Linked DNA regions of Oryzias latipes. The protein of the gene in region 3 interacts with the protein of the main gene of each other region in a pairwise test. Links are inferred from orthologs where the notes say so. Each region holds a gene or a part of one and is shown on either strand. Other genes may lie near its edges.

Region 1 (5,111 bases), on a different chromosome or scaffold from region 3:
AAAAGGTGCCACAATAAAGTTTTTTTCTTCTTCTTTTTAAAGTCTAAGACATCAAACACTGAAACCTTAAGAGACCGCTAAACCAAATTGTCTACAGAAGCAAAAATATATGAAGTTCTAAAGGAAGTATAAAAAAATACCAAAATACTGAAATGGTCCTTCTGAGAATCAGCTTTTTGATTAATTGTCATTGTAACAAATTATGTTTTGTAGTAGTATTTTTAATAGACTACTTTGAGCTTCTGCCACACAATCAAATTATTTGTTAAATTTGCAAATAAATGAAAACTGTTTTTTTTAACATATATTTATCGACTGTATAAGAGATACAGTCAATAAATGCACATTTATTATTATAATGCTTTCAAAGACTATTTGCAAAAGTTGTTTCCGCACATGGCTGGGGCCTTGAGGACACCAAAGGGGAAAAAAAACCCACTGCACTGACCTGGGCGTGGTCTGTTTAAATCTGGCGCCACCCCGTTTTGTCAAGTATTTTAAAATAGAGGCAAATAGACTTTCAAAATAAAGGCACTGAAGAAATAAGCACTATGAGAAAAAAGAACATAGCGTAGCAATGCCACTTAGTTATTAGCACTGCTGCAATGCTAATGCTACTTAATTAATCTATAAGTAGTGTCATCAATGACAGACTTTTTTGTTGTTCTGTTCTTACATAAATTATTAACTTTTTTATGTTTTTAATTATGCAAGTTACCTTGACAAAAAGTATTTAATTTAAATGTACTACAAGTAGCTTATACTTAGTTAATACTAAAAGTGAGGCAGTATGTTTGACATTTGCTTTTTATATACTGTCTATATATTGCACATGTAAATCGTTTCAGTTAATATACTTCCTATACATGCACATGGTTTAGTATACTTGCTATACCAATACTCAAGTATGCTTGAAAAAAAATCAAGGATACTACTTTTTTCCAGGGGTTGCTCATAGCTGTGATGTGCCTCATATTTAGTGTAAACCTCTCCATTTTCAGATTTCTCTAAAAGTTTGTTTGTAGGCTACTCAGAGCCAAACTTTGTGTTTTTATTTTATCTACCGTGTGTTTGGTATATTTCTGTAGCTCAACCTTGAGTAACCTCTAGTATAACCTCAAGGTTGTGCTAAAGAACTTTTAGGTCTACAAAGAGGGCAAATATTTTTGATCTTTTTTCCTACTTAATGAAAACAAATATATTGTTGGTTCCCATACAAGCATTCAAGCATTTGCCTTTGATATTTATTTTACCCTCATAGGGTGACATTTATGTGTCCCCCTTCTCTCTCTCTTTTTTTTTTTTTTTTTACACATTATTAGATAAAAAATTTAAATACATGAGAAAAATTGGTGGCCATATTCTAGAATAAATCATACTGGAAAATCTATGTGTTTAGAATGGTTAAAATTATGATAAGTTGTCATCTGGTTAGTAGTTTTCTTAATCAGATTTTTATTGGCATGTAAATATGCCTACTGGTGAGGCTGATCATATGTTCACTATTTTCTTTTTTTCATTTATTGATTTGACAATACTATTCAGAAAATATTTCCTTTCTCTATTGACTACCTCTCTCTCAATATTTGAAGATTGAAGATAAAAGAAAAAGGCTTTAATTTTGAAATCCGATTCTGCCGGAAATCACACTTAACCATTTGGCTTTACGGAGCCTGCGCAAAGCTGCGGGCTCCTCCGCCTGTCCTGTGTGTTTCCACTGTTGTTTGAAGCAAGCGGAGAGAAAACTGAGATTTTTTTCTCTGTTTTAAAGCATAAAACAATTAAGTTTCGGTTTATTTCACTCTGTGATAGAAAAAAGACAAATAGAAAAGGAGGGAAAAGCTGTAAAATACGAGGTCAGACAAGGAAAGAGGCGGAGAGGAGGACTGGGAGGAGAGATTTAGCTCAGTGGAAAAATGCTACGGATTTGATAAAAGGTAAGAAAATCCTCCATGTCGATACTTTATTGATCCCAAAGAGGTCGATGCGGGGCGGTTAGAGGCTGCGGCGAGGGTTGGGGGAGCTACAGCCGCAGGAGCGGCGAGCTGCGGTTTCCACATGTAGGTCATTGTGTCTGTGGGTCTCAACCAGAGAAAAACTGAGCCAAACCGTGCCGGGGGTCCTGCAGCCGCAGCCGAGCTAAGGCCAGGCCGCAGGGGGAGGACGAAGCCCCGCAGCTGGACTGAGTCGCTCCTCCTGACTCCTAATCCTGCCAAAAGATACAGGCCTTCATCAAATGTAATGACCCAGTTTCTCTTAGCAGCACTAAAATACTGATGGAGCTGCTGCATTCAGGGACGAACAGGAAAAAAGAAACGCTAAGAACGCAGCAATAACTAATGTCTAAAAAGTTAACTTTTTAGATCATTAACAATACTTCTAACTCTAAATGTGTTTACATTTAAAATATATATTTTAATTAAAGAAAAGAAGCACATACAGAGATTTTATTAAGTAAAACACACATCAAGAGTAAAAAGTTTGATCAGATTTCACAGATTAACTTTCTTTTACTCATCTTTCCGGTAGTCTTTTAATAATGAGTTTGTCTTTTTTTCCTAAATTAAAAACAAACAAACATGTAGTTCAGTAGAAATTCGCCTCTTAGTTGACACAGAGTGAGCCTGCCCTCACTTTCCCATCATCCATCTGTTGACATGCTCTCCCGCTGGCCTACAGCCCCCCCAAAAAAACCCCACTGGTGCAGCAAAAATGGCGAGCAATATCGTTGCTACCCAGCTGTGCAGTTATGAGCCAGATGTTGACTCGTACAAGGAAAGCAAAGACGAACGTGGATCTATTTGTCTCCAAGTGGATCCATCAGAATGGAGCAGAGCAGGATGCTTGGGGGGGGCTTGCCATTGTTGTTCAAACTGCATTTTGTTTCGTCTGCTCTTAAATCACGATTTAAAAAAAACAAACAAACTCAGAAATGCAATTTGAAGCTTAATTTTCTTTTTATATATTTGTCCGTCATCATCAGAAAAATGCCACAAGAACATGTTCAAAACAGCATTTTCTTTGGAGTGAGTCTTTAACAAACACGGTGATGTTACAACAACCCATAAACAAACGTGGCACACATTTATACTTATGTTTAACAGTAGACAATAAACACAAAAAGGACAAAGACAGGAAAGGAGAACAGTGGGAGTCGACTGAGGTTCCATTCATTCGTTTTTTCATTTATCCATTGTCGTATTTGGGTAGAAGTCTATGGTCATATTCATACATATTTATATTAAGTGATTCGTCATTAAACAACATCAAACTTGAACATTCAAGTATAATTGTTTCCACTCTGTTGTTAAAAATATCCATCCCAATATGAATGAAGGAGGTAAGTTTGTTTTAGTTTAGTTTTGCGTTCTGTTATTGTTGATGCTTTGAAATTGTCCAGTTAATTGTGATCATTTTTCTTGTACTTCCTAATAATATATATAATACATCATCTATATTATATATAAAGCAGTATATTTGAAGGCATTACCTTTTTAAGTAACAGTATTTTTTCGATTACCTCTTCATATTTGATCCAATTATTGGATAGGCCAGTCCCAATTGGACAATTGGACAGTCCAAATTATATTTATCTGGGATTTTTCACTTTTCTTTCGTTGTGTCCATGACCAAGGTAGTGTCTCTTTGCAGCAACATATAAAAGAATTTATTTGTTATTCCTTTTTTATTTATTTCATAAAGACTGTGCAAAGAAAACAGCAGTTAGAAGATGAGAACTTAAACGATAGGAATGTGCTGATTTACTGCGCGAAGCGAGGCGCGCATCATCAGGCAGTGAATTTAAGGCTGAATTGAAGCCAACGCTCTCAATCTACTGGGAGTAAAGCCAACGCTGAGAAAATGGCACAATCCCTGTCATGTTCATGTAACGCTTCAGCTGGGATTTGCAGTGTCTGCAGCACGACATACTGTCTTAAAGTTGGGAGTTTAAGTAAACATTCAGGTTTTTCTTAAAGTTTCTATCAGCCTGTTGTTTGGCGATCTGCTGTTCTTTGAAGCCGAGGAGAAGTGTTGGACTTTCTGATGAGTTTGAGGAAGCCAGATGGTAGTTCATTCGGATATTTTTTATAAAACGGTCAGGAAAACCAAGTAAAAATAGGTTTCTTTTATTTCCAGATGTCTGCCGTCAGCATGGAAGCAACAATCATCCTCCCCATCCTCAAGAAGAAGCTGGCCTTTCTGTCAGGTAGCACGCATGCGCATGCAGAGGGGAGGTGGGTAGGCCTGTGGTTTTCTGAGCAAACAACCTCACTGCATCTTGTCTTTGAAAGGCGGCAAAGACCGGCGCAGCGGTCTGATCCTGACCATCCCCCTCAATTCAGATCAGACCAGCATGGAGGAGCTCAGTGCCACTTTGGACTACCTGCTCAGCATCCCAAGGTGCGTCTAGTCTGTGAGCGCTTCTGCTCCCTGTAGCCGTCCCATTCGAGCTTTACCCGGTCAAGTTTGGGTTTATGTTGCTCTCAGAAAAGCTGCTGGGTGTAAATACAGTGAAATGTTTTGCACTGTTGTGTGTTTTGCCTGAACTTTCAATTTTTCCTTGTAATTTTTCCCCCTTTTTAGGAATCCAGCATCTATTTAAAACCATTTTGTTCCCTAAAAACTTGTATAATTGTTGTCTGAGAATTTCCTCCTATTAGGTTTTAATTTTTGGGGGGTTTATTTCCTGGTTGATTCTTTTCATTAACTTTTGACTTGCTTTATTTTAGTTTTAGAAATGTCAATCTAGAAGCACTTTTATTGATCACTCAACCCATAAGAACCCAGACGCTTTTTCTTTTTTTTTAAATTTTACTTATTTTATTTAACCTCCAATTGAGATCAGATCTTTTTTTCAAGGGAGAACTGGTCCAAAAGGCACCATCACAATAAAAACATTCCGATTAATCAATAAATTATAAATATACAATTTGAATAAAACTTCTGTGGGAACTACCACAGACCAAGTGGTTACCATGGATACCGATGGGTTAAGTTCTTCCAAAAGTAGAAATTGTTGACAACTATTAAAGGTTTTCCACGTGTTTTAGTAAGTATCAGTAAATGTCCAGTACAAATTTGAAAAAATAATAAGTTCAACAAATCATTAG
Region 2 (5,111 bases), on a different chromosome or scaffold from region 3:
CGTTGGCAAGTTTGCTCCTGATAGGTGGGTAGAGAGGCTCCAGGCGCGACTGGAGTAGAGGAAGCCAAGGGTGAATCCAGGAGTGGATGGGCACCGTGTCAGTTAAAGGATTCCAGTTATCTACCTAATAAACAAGAGAAAATGTAGGGAGATTTTGACAGGTGATACACACACTTCAGATGCAAGAAAAAGTAGAACAAAAAAAAAAAAAAAAAAGCATGTAGGATTGTTATAATTTGTGTGCCTTGCCTCGCGCTGCAGGCGGGGTAAGATCAGCTGTTCCAGTAGGTGATCCAGGATCCACTGAGGCAGAAGAGGAGCCCACAACGTCACACAGTCCACCATCGGTCCAACCATACGGGGCTGCCACCCGGACACACACATACGCATCACAGGGATCCACACTTCCCATAAAAGTCTAAGCAAAGAGAGACACATGCAGTTAAAAATCAAAATGTGAACATTTACATGTAAAAGTGAGTATTTTAAACAGACCTGTGGTAAGGATCCATGTTGGAGTCTGGGCCACTGGAACGAAGATCCCTGGATTCAAGGATTGCTCTCCACTGACCAATGTCTTCCAGACAGTATGCACTGTCCTACAACAAAAAACAGTCTTAACTCTAGTATCTTAATTGAGCAACATGTTGAAAATAAGGTGTTTGTTTTCCCCCCCACAGAAATAAAAGCGTAATAATTTAATTAGAATAATTAAAAAAAAAAAACCTTTAGAGGCTCCCATGAGTGAAGTTTCTCCTTAAGTAAAGGATGAACAACTGCCACAGCCAGGTCTGCCAATCCCATCATTTTATACTCTTCATAATAATCTGTTTGTAAAGTCTCAAAGATCTGGGCACACTCCTGGGCACAGAGAGGTGAGAAAATAAACAAATAAGTATGTTCAAAATGATTAAATGTTAGAAGAATGGAGATTAAAAACCATTAGGAACAAATAAACTGCAAGATAAGTACATCTAGTTTGGGTATTTTCATGTGCCACGTACCTGAAGAGTCGGTCCCTCCCCTGGTGGCGTCTCTCCAGAGGGAAAACGCTCCACCAGTGCCAAAACAGCCTCCATTTTCTGGATGGCATCTTGCTCTGCTTCTAGTCTGCTCTGCAACGCACGGGACTCATGACTCAGAGAAACGACCACGTCCTTTTCATGCTGTAGACGTCTGGCCGACTACAAAAGAATAAATAAAGAGAGCAGAAGAAAAAAATTAAATCTGGAAGCCCACTTGAAACGGGTTAATAGTTGAAAATGATTTGAAAGAATTTCAGATTTTCCTCTGACCTGTAAAATGTCCTGTTCTGTGAGGTCGATCAGCAGCTGAAGATTATGCTCAAGCTCAGGGAGAGCGAAGCCGGAACCCTTCTGATCCCGTGTGGACATGGCTGGTGGGGTTTCATCGGGAACACTGTGTTTGTTGGCTATCTGACTGTAACTGTAGTAAACCTTTGGCTCTCTTACAGTCATATCTATAACCTAAATTTGAAGAGAGATAAAAACAATTAATAAAAAGAAAACTTGAATCATTTTACTTCCATGGCCATAAAAATCTTTCAATTTATTTCAGTTTTATGCTGAAAGGAGGAAATGTAAAAAAAAAAAAAAAAACAAGTAGATGCTTGTGAAGCTCTTTAAAATATTAAAGTTTGTGGTTTTTTTCATTGTTCTGACCCGAAATTAAAAGGACATAACGCAGGATTTTAACGCACCTTAACCTGCGCCAACTCTCCTGCAGATGCTGCCATGTTCCGAGAAACCATTTTGCCTTTAGCCCTCAGCTCATCTGCAGTTCTGTATGAGTATTTTGGTTTCTTCTTGACTGCGGAGCCCGCAGGATCCTTTCGCCACTGACCCAATTCTTTTTGAAACTCCTACAACAACACACATTACAGGAGAAAAACAAGAAGATAATTTCACAGTTAGCCCTCAATTCTTCAGATACACAATCACTGTGAAAACAAGATTATATGGAGTAAAGAACTGCTCGTGGCAAAATCTCACCTTTTCCTCCTCTTCTTCAGAGTCAACCACAGGGAAGTCCTGCAGACTCTGCTGGGTTCTCTCATTGCCATATGCACCTACAGCTCCTTTACCTTTACGGACCTTTGCCTCAATAGGGTTTACAATACCTACATAAACAAAACAGAGGCATGGCAATAAAATCTCTATTATTTTCCCTCTGAAATGCATGCAAAAGCACAATCGTGTACAGTACTTTTCCTCCTTTACGCTGCCTACCTTGAGCATTTTTTCCAAGCCCCTTTCCAGGCTGGTAACCCATTTTCTGCAGAAGCTTCTGTCCAATTCCTTTTGTGTGCTTCTCCCAGGTTCCAATACCCTGTCCAGATTGTATTCCACCAGCAAACCTCTGGGACTGATTCCCACGAAAATTACTCTGACAAAACAAAGAAATTATAGACGTCAGTTTAAAAAGAAAGCTTTTTTAGATAAAATATGTTCTTAAGCGAAACTTTACCATCTGAAGTTTTCTAGGTGCAATTCCACGAGTAGGAGGGGGAACTGCAGGGGCATCCTCTTCCGAATCATCAGAACCTTCTTCTTTGTCTTGCTGTTTCTCCTCGGCTGCAGTTTTACGTAGACCGGCACTAACAAAATTCACTGGGGTGCTGTAATCTTTCGACCTAAAGAAAATGTACACTGTTAACATCCTCTGCAAAAATTTTCACATTTAGACATCAGAGCATCAAACCTGTGAATTACCTCTTGCCACCAAAGCTGGGTCTCTCATCTTCATCTGAATCTTTGTCAGCCCAGATCCCATAAGTGGCCTGCTCCTTGGTCTGCCTAAACCTGCGGCGTTCTGGGTTAAACTCATTGGCCAGATCCCAGTCTGTCACCTCGAAGCTTTCGATCTCCACACCTTCTTCCTCTTCTTCCCTCCGCCCGTAAAGATGGGACATCGACATTTCTAGATAGAGACCCAATACAAAAAAAAATCATAAAAGCCATACAATTGAAAAACATTCAAGTTGCTTAAAAAATCGTACAACAGCATGAAACCACAGTCAGCAATGATTGCTAACGCTAGCTAAGCACGAAGCTAGCCACAAAACTGTTTCGGTCACAAACAATTATCAACATAAATATCAACTGTATTGCACATTTGTATGATTGAAAGCGTAAAAATACATTAAGAAGTTTCAAGCAAAAAGGTATTAACTAACAGAACTCAGATATTAATAATGCAAATGATGAGATTTTTTAGCGAAATCTAGCTAACGATAGTTGGGACATTAAATCCCATTACGACTGCAGAAACATTTCGAACTTGGAAAGTAGAAAGGCACTTAATACAAACAAAGCTTACTTGACAAGAAATAGTTTATACACTTAGAGATTAATTAAAACTCATTCTTGGCTGTCTGTAGCAAGAAGAGGTTATCTGTGTAGCTTTTCGTTCAACGCACGAACGTGGAAATACTTCCGGGTAAAGTCTGTCCGTCAGTACTGACGAATAAATGTTGTGACCTTAAAACTTTGAGATTTTACTTATTTTTATTTGTTTGCATTTACTAAAGATTTGTGTTGGTTTTTATATAAATTTCTCTAAGTTAAAACAGCAACACCACACATTTAGGTTAATAAATTATGTGATAAAAGCTTTTATTTTGGCGTTACACCGGAAGACAAATGTGTTACACTTAAAACCGTCCTACGCGCTGCTGATTTTGTGGCGGAGGTGATTAGGGTGTTTGTTTTTTAATTATTATCACTGTTTTTTTTTCACCCCTAACATTTTATTATAGATCGTTGAATGATGGGAATGAGATAAAAAAAATGTCTGAAAGTGAGTGGCAGGTCGCTCGGCGTCGAAAAGGGCAAACAAGGAAGTTTAAATCTCATGTGCCTTTAAGTTCCACCAGCGTCCAAGAAGACCAGCTTGATGTCGAGAAAGTTGTCAGACGGATCAGGACCACTGTGTAAGAAATAAAATAAAAAAAACGGAAAACCACTCATAAACATAGTTCATTGTGCCTTATCGAGGGGAAAACTAATTCTGATATCTCATTCTTTACTCTCTGTCTCATAGGACTGAGTTGAGATGCGAAGAGTTTTGGCACAAATGGAAAGGTAAGTAAAACATAACCAAATTTTTTAGACATGTTTTTTTTATTTAGTGTGTAATTGAATTGTAACTCTTATGTTCCTCGTCCTCAGATGAGCTGCTGATGGCATCCACAGCATCAGCATCTGCAGAGAAGGACGTCACTGAGGAGCATCTGAAGAACACAGGTGATCAGCTGGAGTGTGTGTGTTATGGCCTTGGCTCCTTTTCTTCTTGCACTGCAGCCCGGTATCAGCTTGCCATGCTGCTTCTGCTGCTGGAAGTATTACAGGTCAGAAGAGAGCATTAGACTATGTTCTAACAAACATGTGTTATGTTTGTTTTGAGTTGCTCATTTAGTTTTTTTTCTCCTAAAGGTTTCCTTAAGGGATTGCTTGGTTTATGATCCCATATTCTCCTCTGGAGAGCAGGATGTCTTGAGGGAGCTGGGAATGACTGTACTCACAGAAAACGAGGTCATGTCAATTGTTTTTCTTTTTGCACTTCTAGAGAACAAACTGCTGATGTTATCACCGTAACTGAGATCTAAACAGACTAAAGTATCCGCTGTTTTATTTAGGAGGGGAAGCGTCTGGTGACCAAGCCCACTCTTTTTTATCTCATGCACTGTGGGAAGGCTCTGTACAACAACCTACTGTGGAAAAACTGGAGCTTACGGGGATTATACCAGCTTGTAATCATTGGAAACAGCTTCAATGGTATGAGGGAAAGGTTCGTAGAAAACACTGATGATGGAGCGCATCGTTTTTAGCAAACAGAGATGAAATAATGTCCTCTGTCTGTTGCAGAACGGTGGAAAGAGTGTTCAAACAGGAATACAGCTACATCAGTAAAGCTGTGGACCTCTGTGAGGAAAAAATGCTGCCTTGTCCTTCTCACATGATAGATGTCTTCAGTGATACGGCAGTCATTGCTTTTCCTCCCCACATCTTACACAAAGTGCCACAGACTAACTGGGCTGAGTCACCTGAACCTGAATACAGAGACCGCCAGGATTTGGAGATAATCCTGAA
Region 3 (5,111 bases):
CTGACATCTGTTTCCCATCGGGTACTATTTTTGAACACAATTATTGTATTAAGTAATTACTAATAAATTATTTCCTTTTTTCTATTTTATTTGTCAACTACTATCACATTTTTTAACGTTTTTTTTTCTTTTCTTTTTTGTGTAGTACATAAAGCTAGTCACGTTTATTCACAAAATAATGATGCTTTTTTTTAGATATATTTGTCAAAAATTAAGTATTTTGTAAAAAAAACTTTTTTTCCCTGCTATTTTGTAGTTTAGAAAAAAGTTTTCAGACAAATCAATCATGCATTCATTGTATTTTCCCCTAATGATGTTGAGCCACATTTAGGTCATTTCAGTTCCCACCTGACACAAGGTTGATTTTTTTTTTTTTTTCAGTTCCCTTTTCTTAGAAAGGTGAAGCACGCAGGGGAAAAATTTCTCGCTGTGTGAATTTAAATCTTAACAGAAATCTGTTGTGGAAATGCTGCTTTAATTTTTTTTCTTTTTTCTTCAGGTTATTGTGGAGAAAGCCCCCAAGGCTAGAATAGGAGATCTGGACAAGAAAAAATACCTTGTCCCTTCTGACTTAACAGGTAAACATATCACTCTTTTAAAAGAAAAAGAAAAAAGTACGGTTCACTTTTTACCGTTGTATAAGAAATTGTATTTTCTTTTTTTTTTTTTTTTAAGTGGGCCAGTTTTACTTCCTCATCCGGAAAAGAATCCACTTAAGAGCAGAGGATGCTCTCTTCTTCTTTGTAAACAACGTCATTCCTCCCACCTCAGCAACCATGGGACTGTTGTACCAGGCAAGAGTCTAACTCACTGAATTTTTAACTGTTACTGAAAGTATTTCCTCTGTTCCTCTTATTTTACTCTATTTGATTTCCTCAGGAGCACCACGAAGAGGACTTTTTCCTCTACATTGCCTACAGTGATGAGAGTGTGTATGGGAACAGCCAAAGGGAAATGTGATCCCCTTCAACCACCTTTCTGAGACCTTTGTCATTCATTCATTTAAAAAGTAAAATCCAGCTTGGCAGTGTAGAGTTCCCAGAGTAAATGTCATCTGCACTTTCACTTCTCACAAACACAATCTTTTACATATTCATTTATGACTTTTTCTATTTTGCAGTCTGAATTGTATTTGCCTTCTCTGGTTTGGTTTTTGGGAATCGTACTCCACAGAATGCCTGATAAAGAAAAGTGAAAATAAAATCTCAACCGCTATGCGCTTGTATTTACTTCTGAGTGCAGAAAACAGAGGCAGAATTTGTTGAGTTAAATTGACCCCTGCCTGGTAATAAGTATAAATAGTGCTTGTCAAATTTTGACAAGACTTTGATGATGAAAAAGATTTTGGTTTATGTTTTAAAGTCAATAATTTTCAAAAGAATAGTGATAGTGCTGCCAGCGGTAGTGATCTTTTTTTTTTTTCCTTTTGATTTATTTTATTTTAAATTTAAAGAGGTCACGGTAAGCTTTATTTTTATTAAATTGTTAAATCCCAAAACACTAGTATTTCCTTCCTCATATTTAATCTTTGCGAGGACTATAATAGGATTCAGACTGCTCAATCATTCTCTGCTTTCAGTGGTAAAATTATTTTGACAGCTAATATGATTATTGTTGTTATTATTGTTAATTTTAGGTGGCTCACTTTCTAAAGAAGTTGTAAAGCTGAGTGTAATTTTCTTTTTAAGTTTCTTATTTTTTAAAAAGGATTTACAGTAGAACTCTGTATACGGCTGCATTAATGGCTCTTTCTCTCCACTCATGATCGTATATGATAAAATGTTATGAAAGTTGATATTTGTTTCCTGACTTTTTTTATGGTCTGATGATTTTACTGGATAGTAAAAAAATTACATTAAGATTAAAAGGTCATTAAAAAAAGGTGGGATCTAGTCCTAAATGGAAAAACTGTTGCCTATCTTTGATATGAAAGTTAAACAAAACATACAAAAGAAAAATAGGAATATGTTTAAAGTATTTTATCTCTCTTGATAAACCTAGGTAAGTTTGGTCTTTTGATTTTAGAAGTACGTGGCTGTTAGTATAAAAAAAAGGTTATATATATAGTCTGTAAATATAGAGAAAGTTATTAAAAAATGGGGGCATTGGAATGTCCTTATTACAAAATATAGGCTAACTTAAATTTAAAAATATGAGTGCAACATTTTTATTTTACAATTAATACTGTTTTTAAATTCTGTAGTTCAAAATGTGACTTCTGAAATCCACTTAAGCTAGATTTAGAAGATCTAAAAGTGTTGGTCTGAATTTAAACTCCACATTGAAACGCAAATTCCCATGATGCAAATGGGGCAGCCGTGTCTTTTAACCGGAAGTAGAACTCTTTCCCCCGGTCCTAAAACCTCTGTTTATATTCGCGGCCGAAAGTTTTGCCGGATAAAAGCAAAAAGGTAGATATTACAAAAGGCGACACAGTCTGGTTCTTAAAAACGGCAACATTAACGATAAAAGTAAGCATCTTTTCTGAAATAAATTAGCTGTTAGCAAGCATTAAAATAATATAGTATAAACTCCGTCGCGCACTTATTTGTTTAGCTGGTGTGGCTAACTTTAGCTAACAATTGGGTCTTTTTGCACACAGATATACGCATGTTTGTCTTGGACGTATCTTACTTATCACAAACATTCATGTTAAATTTTGCTGCTAGATTAGCGGGTTTATTATTTTTAAAGATTTTGCCGTCTTATCCTTGTTCAGGCTAGCATCACGCAGTACTTGTTTAAATTAAGCTAGGTCATGGCTCGGTATAAACCCTTCCAAAACAGATTAAAAGGTTTATTTAGTTCAATTTTCAGTAAAATTACTTGAGTCTTTTTAGCCCACTTATACTAAACCTCTGAACTTTAAAACAGCTGGCCCCTCCGTTACCAGTGACCATGCCTGCCTTGTTGGAGAGACCGAAACTGTCCAACGCGATGGCCAGAGCCCTCCACAAGCACATCATGAGGGAGAGGGAGCGCAAAAGACAAGGTCAGTGTCATCAAATGAAAAGGAGAAGTAAGTTAACCGAACAGAAATAATCATTCTTCTTTGATTTTCTAGGAGATTTCATTTAAGGCCCACTCCAATCAAATCTTGATCTGTTTTAAAAGCGTTCCCAGTGGCCAGTTTATTATGATTCTGCCGGTTTTAGGCTAAATCAAAAAGTCTGTATCGTTTTCTAGGACGTAGTTTTTGCAGAACAACAGTACCTCACATGGATTTTTTTTGCCTCCAAGTGGAGGCCTCATAATGGAGCAGAGCAGGCTGCTTGTGGCTTGCTGTTGGGTCTATGTCAAAACTGTGAGCTTTTTACAATGACGTTTTTACATCTACTCCTGATTCACAATGATTTGAATAAAAAAAAAATTATATATCTCCTCTATCATGAAAAAAAAAGGCCACAAGAACATGTTTAAAATACCAAACATATAATTTTCATTGGAGTGGGTCTCTAAAATCTGTCTCTGACCTTCTTGACAATTATCATTACAAGTAACTTTATCATGTTTCAGATGTGTGAAAGTGTTACAGGTGATGCTAAATCTTGTCCCTGTAACCTTTCAGAGGAAGAGGAGGTGGATAAAATGATGGAGCAAAAGCTGAAGGAGGAGGAGGAGAGGAAAAGAACCAAAGAAATAGAGGAAAGGATGTCATTAGAGGAAACCAAAGAACAGGTGAGCACCTGCCATCAAAGATGACCCTTATTTTAGGATTTTTAACTGACTCTTTAGTTCTTCCTTTTAATGACATTTCTCCCCTGATGTCAGGTGATGAAAATGGGAGAAAAACTTCAGGGACTTCAAGAAGAAAAGCATCAGCTGTTTCTGCAACTCAAAAAGGTTCTCCATGAGGAGGAGAAGAGGCGCAGAAAGGAGCAGAGGTATTTTCATTCAACAGTTGTTTAGTCCACGAATGATGCCTCTTGTAATTTTGCGCCTCCTTCTGTTATCAGTGATATAACAACGCTGACATCTGCCAGTTACCAACAGAGCCTGCCCATGCACACAGGACAGCACCTCCTTAATATTCAAGGTGAGCTACTAAACCATGAATACACATTTCATAAAAAGGTTGTATGTTTTGTTAGCTAATTTCAGCACTAAGATCATTTTGTTTGTTTATTTATTTCTTTTTTTGAGGGTAGGTAGTCCAGTGAGCCACAGTCGAGCTGGAGCACTACTTGGAGAAAGAAACAAACAGTTGTACACAACAACCGTGATCCCTGTAAGTACAAGTGGGCTGTTAAAAAAACGTCTTGTTAAGTTCTTTACTTAGTTCTGTTGTTTGGAAAAGCCTGGGCCAAGCTGCTTTGCTTTACTTCGGTTCTAACCCGAGTAATGCCTACAAAACCTGCGTATAGCCACTTTGCATATAACCAAAAATAATAAAGTGGACTATTATGAACATTTTATTCTCTAAATCAAAAAAAATGTATCAAGCTAAAACAAAACCACCTCCACAGAACAAAACTGTTTAAGAACAAGGAAGGAGGATATTCTTTAAACAACCTTGTGTACGGACAGCCCAAAAAAGTCAACATTTCTGTCTGTGAAAATGAGTAAAAATGATAAACACAATGGAGAAAAAAGTGCAACCTGAACATTTTGGAAATGTATAAATTAGAAAAGGAGAAATGTGATGTTTGGTTCCTAGATGCTTTTATTTATTTTTTCCCCTTCAGTTATTTTATGTTTTTAATTTTTATTAGTAAAAATGTATGTATTAAATATAGTAAGATTGGTGGTGGGAATTAATAAGATTTTCCTTGTACCCACTCCTTTTTCGAGCACTTCTATTTATCATGTTTATAGCTATTTTATTTTGAAAATAAAAGTAAGTTAATGGAAGGTTCACCGCTGAAACTCTGTTTTTAACAACTTTTTGTCAGAGTCTAAAGCCCTACCTAAATTCCAAACCAGCTTTTTAATACAGAAAATATATTTTTAAAGTGTTTATCCCACTGTGTATGAAAAATAATTTTTTTTGGTGGCCTAGCAACTACACAAAACATTTTTTTTTGTGGAAAATGTCAATCAAATGTTGTCAATCAAGTCACTCTTTTTCCCAGGTTTTCTCACTTCCTCTGGCTTATCTCTAGGGACGGCAT

What was found.
Region 1: the proteins of gps2 (region 3) and sestd1 interact in binary tests that used the Homo sapiens proteins (3 or more experiments, as listed by UniProt). The two-hybrid records come from large-scale screens. The link is inferred for Oryzias latipes from reciprocal best matches to the Homo sapiens genes GPS2 and SESTD1.
Region 2: the proteins of gps2 (region 3) and tfip11 interact in binary tests that used the Homo sapiens proteins (3 or more experiments, as listed by UniProt). The two-hybrid records come from large-scale screens. The link is inferred for Oryzias latipes from reciprocal best matches to the Homo sapiens genes GPS2 and TFIP11.

Annotation. Positions count from the first base shown.
Region 1 is NC_019879.2:6,611,851-6,616,961, reverse strand, and holds the start of sestd1 (SEC14 domain and spectrin repeat-containing protein 1), read left to right. Parts: upstream 1-1,655; 5' UTR 1,656-1,937; intron 1,938-4,137; coding exon 4,138-4,207; intron 4,208-4,292; coding exon 4,293-4,401; intron 4,402-5,111. UniProt on the Homo sapiens protein: May act as the primary docking protein directing membrane turnover and assembly of the transient receptor potential channels TRPC4 and TRPC5.
Region 2 is NC_019867.2:13,548,384-13,553,494, reverse strand, and holds the start of tfip11 (tuftelin-interacting protein 11), read right to left. Parts: upstream 3,469-5,111; 5' UTR 3,340-3,468; intron 2,941-3,339; 5' UTR 2,939-2,940; coding exon 2,733-2,938; intron 2,654-2,732; coding exon 2,488-2,653; intron 2,407-2,487; coding exon 2,250-2,406; intron 2,141-2,249; coding exon 2,013-2,140; intron 1,883-2,012; coding exon 1,721-1,882; intron 1,488-1,720; coding exon 1,296-1,487; intron 1,185-1,295; coding exon 1,005-1,184; intron 862-1,004; coding exon 727-861; intron 600-726; coding exon 496-599; intron 419-495; coding exon 250-418; intron 125-249; coding exon 1-124. Other genes in the region: srrd (SRR1-like protein), read left to right, coding at 3,810-3,952, 4,063-4,103, 4,191-4,369, 4,455-4,553, 4,658-4,809, 4,887-5,111. UniProt on the Homo sapiens protein: Involved in pre-mRNA splicing, specifically in spliceosome disassembly during late-stage splicing events. Intron turnover seems to proceed through reactions in two lariat-intron associated complexes termed Intron Large (IL) and Intron Small (IS).
Region 3 is NC_019876.2:14,445,436-14,450,546, forward strand, and holds the start of gps2 (G protein pathway suppressor 2), read left to right. Parts: upstream 1-2,304; 5' UTR 2,305-2,411; exon of another isoform or gene 2,412-2,471; intron 2,472-2,874; 5' UTR 2,875-2,898; coding exon 2,899-3,019; intron 3,020-3,568; coding exon 3,569-3,678; intron 3,679-3,771; coding exon 3,772-3,884; intron 3,885-3,956; coding exon 3,957-4,036; intron 4,037-4,148; coding exon 4,149-4,228; intron 4,229-5,102; coding exon 5,103-5,111. Other genes in the region: gabarap (gamma-aminobutyric acid receptor-associated protein), read left to right, coding at 500-578, 676-794, 880-960. UniProt on the Homo sapiens protein: Key regulator of inflammation, lipid metabolism and mitochondrion homeostasis that acts by inhibiting the activity of the ubiquitin-conjugating enzyme UBE2N/Ubc13, thereby inhibiting 'Lys-63'-linked ubiquitination.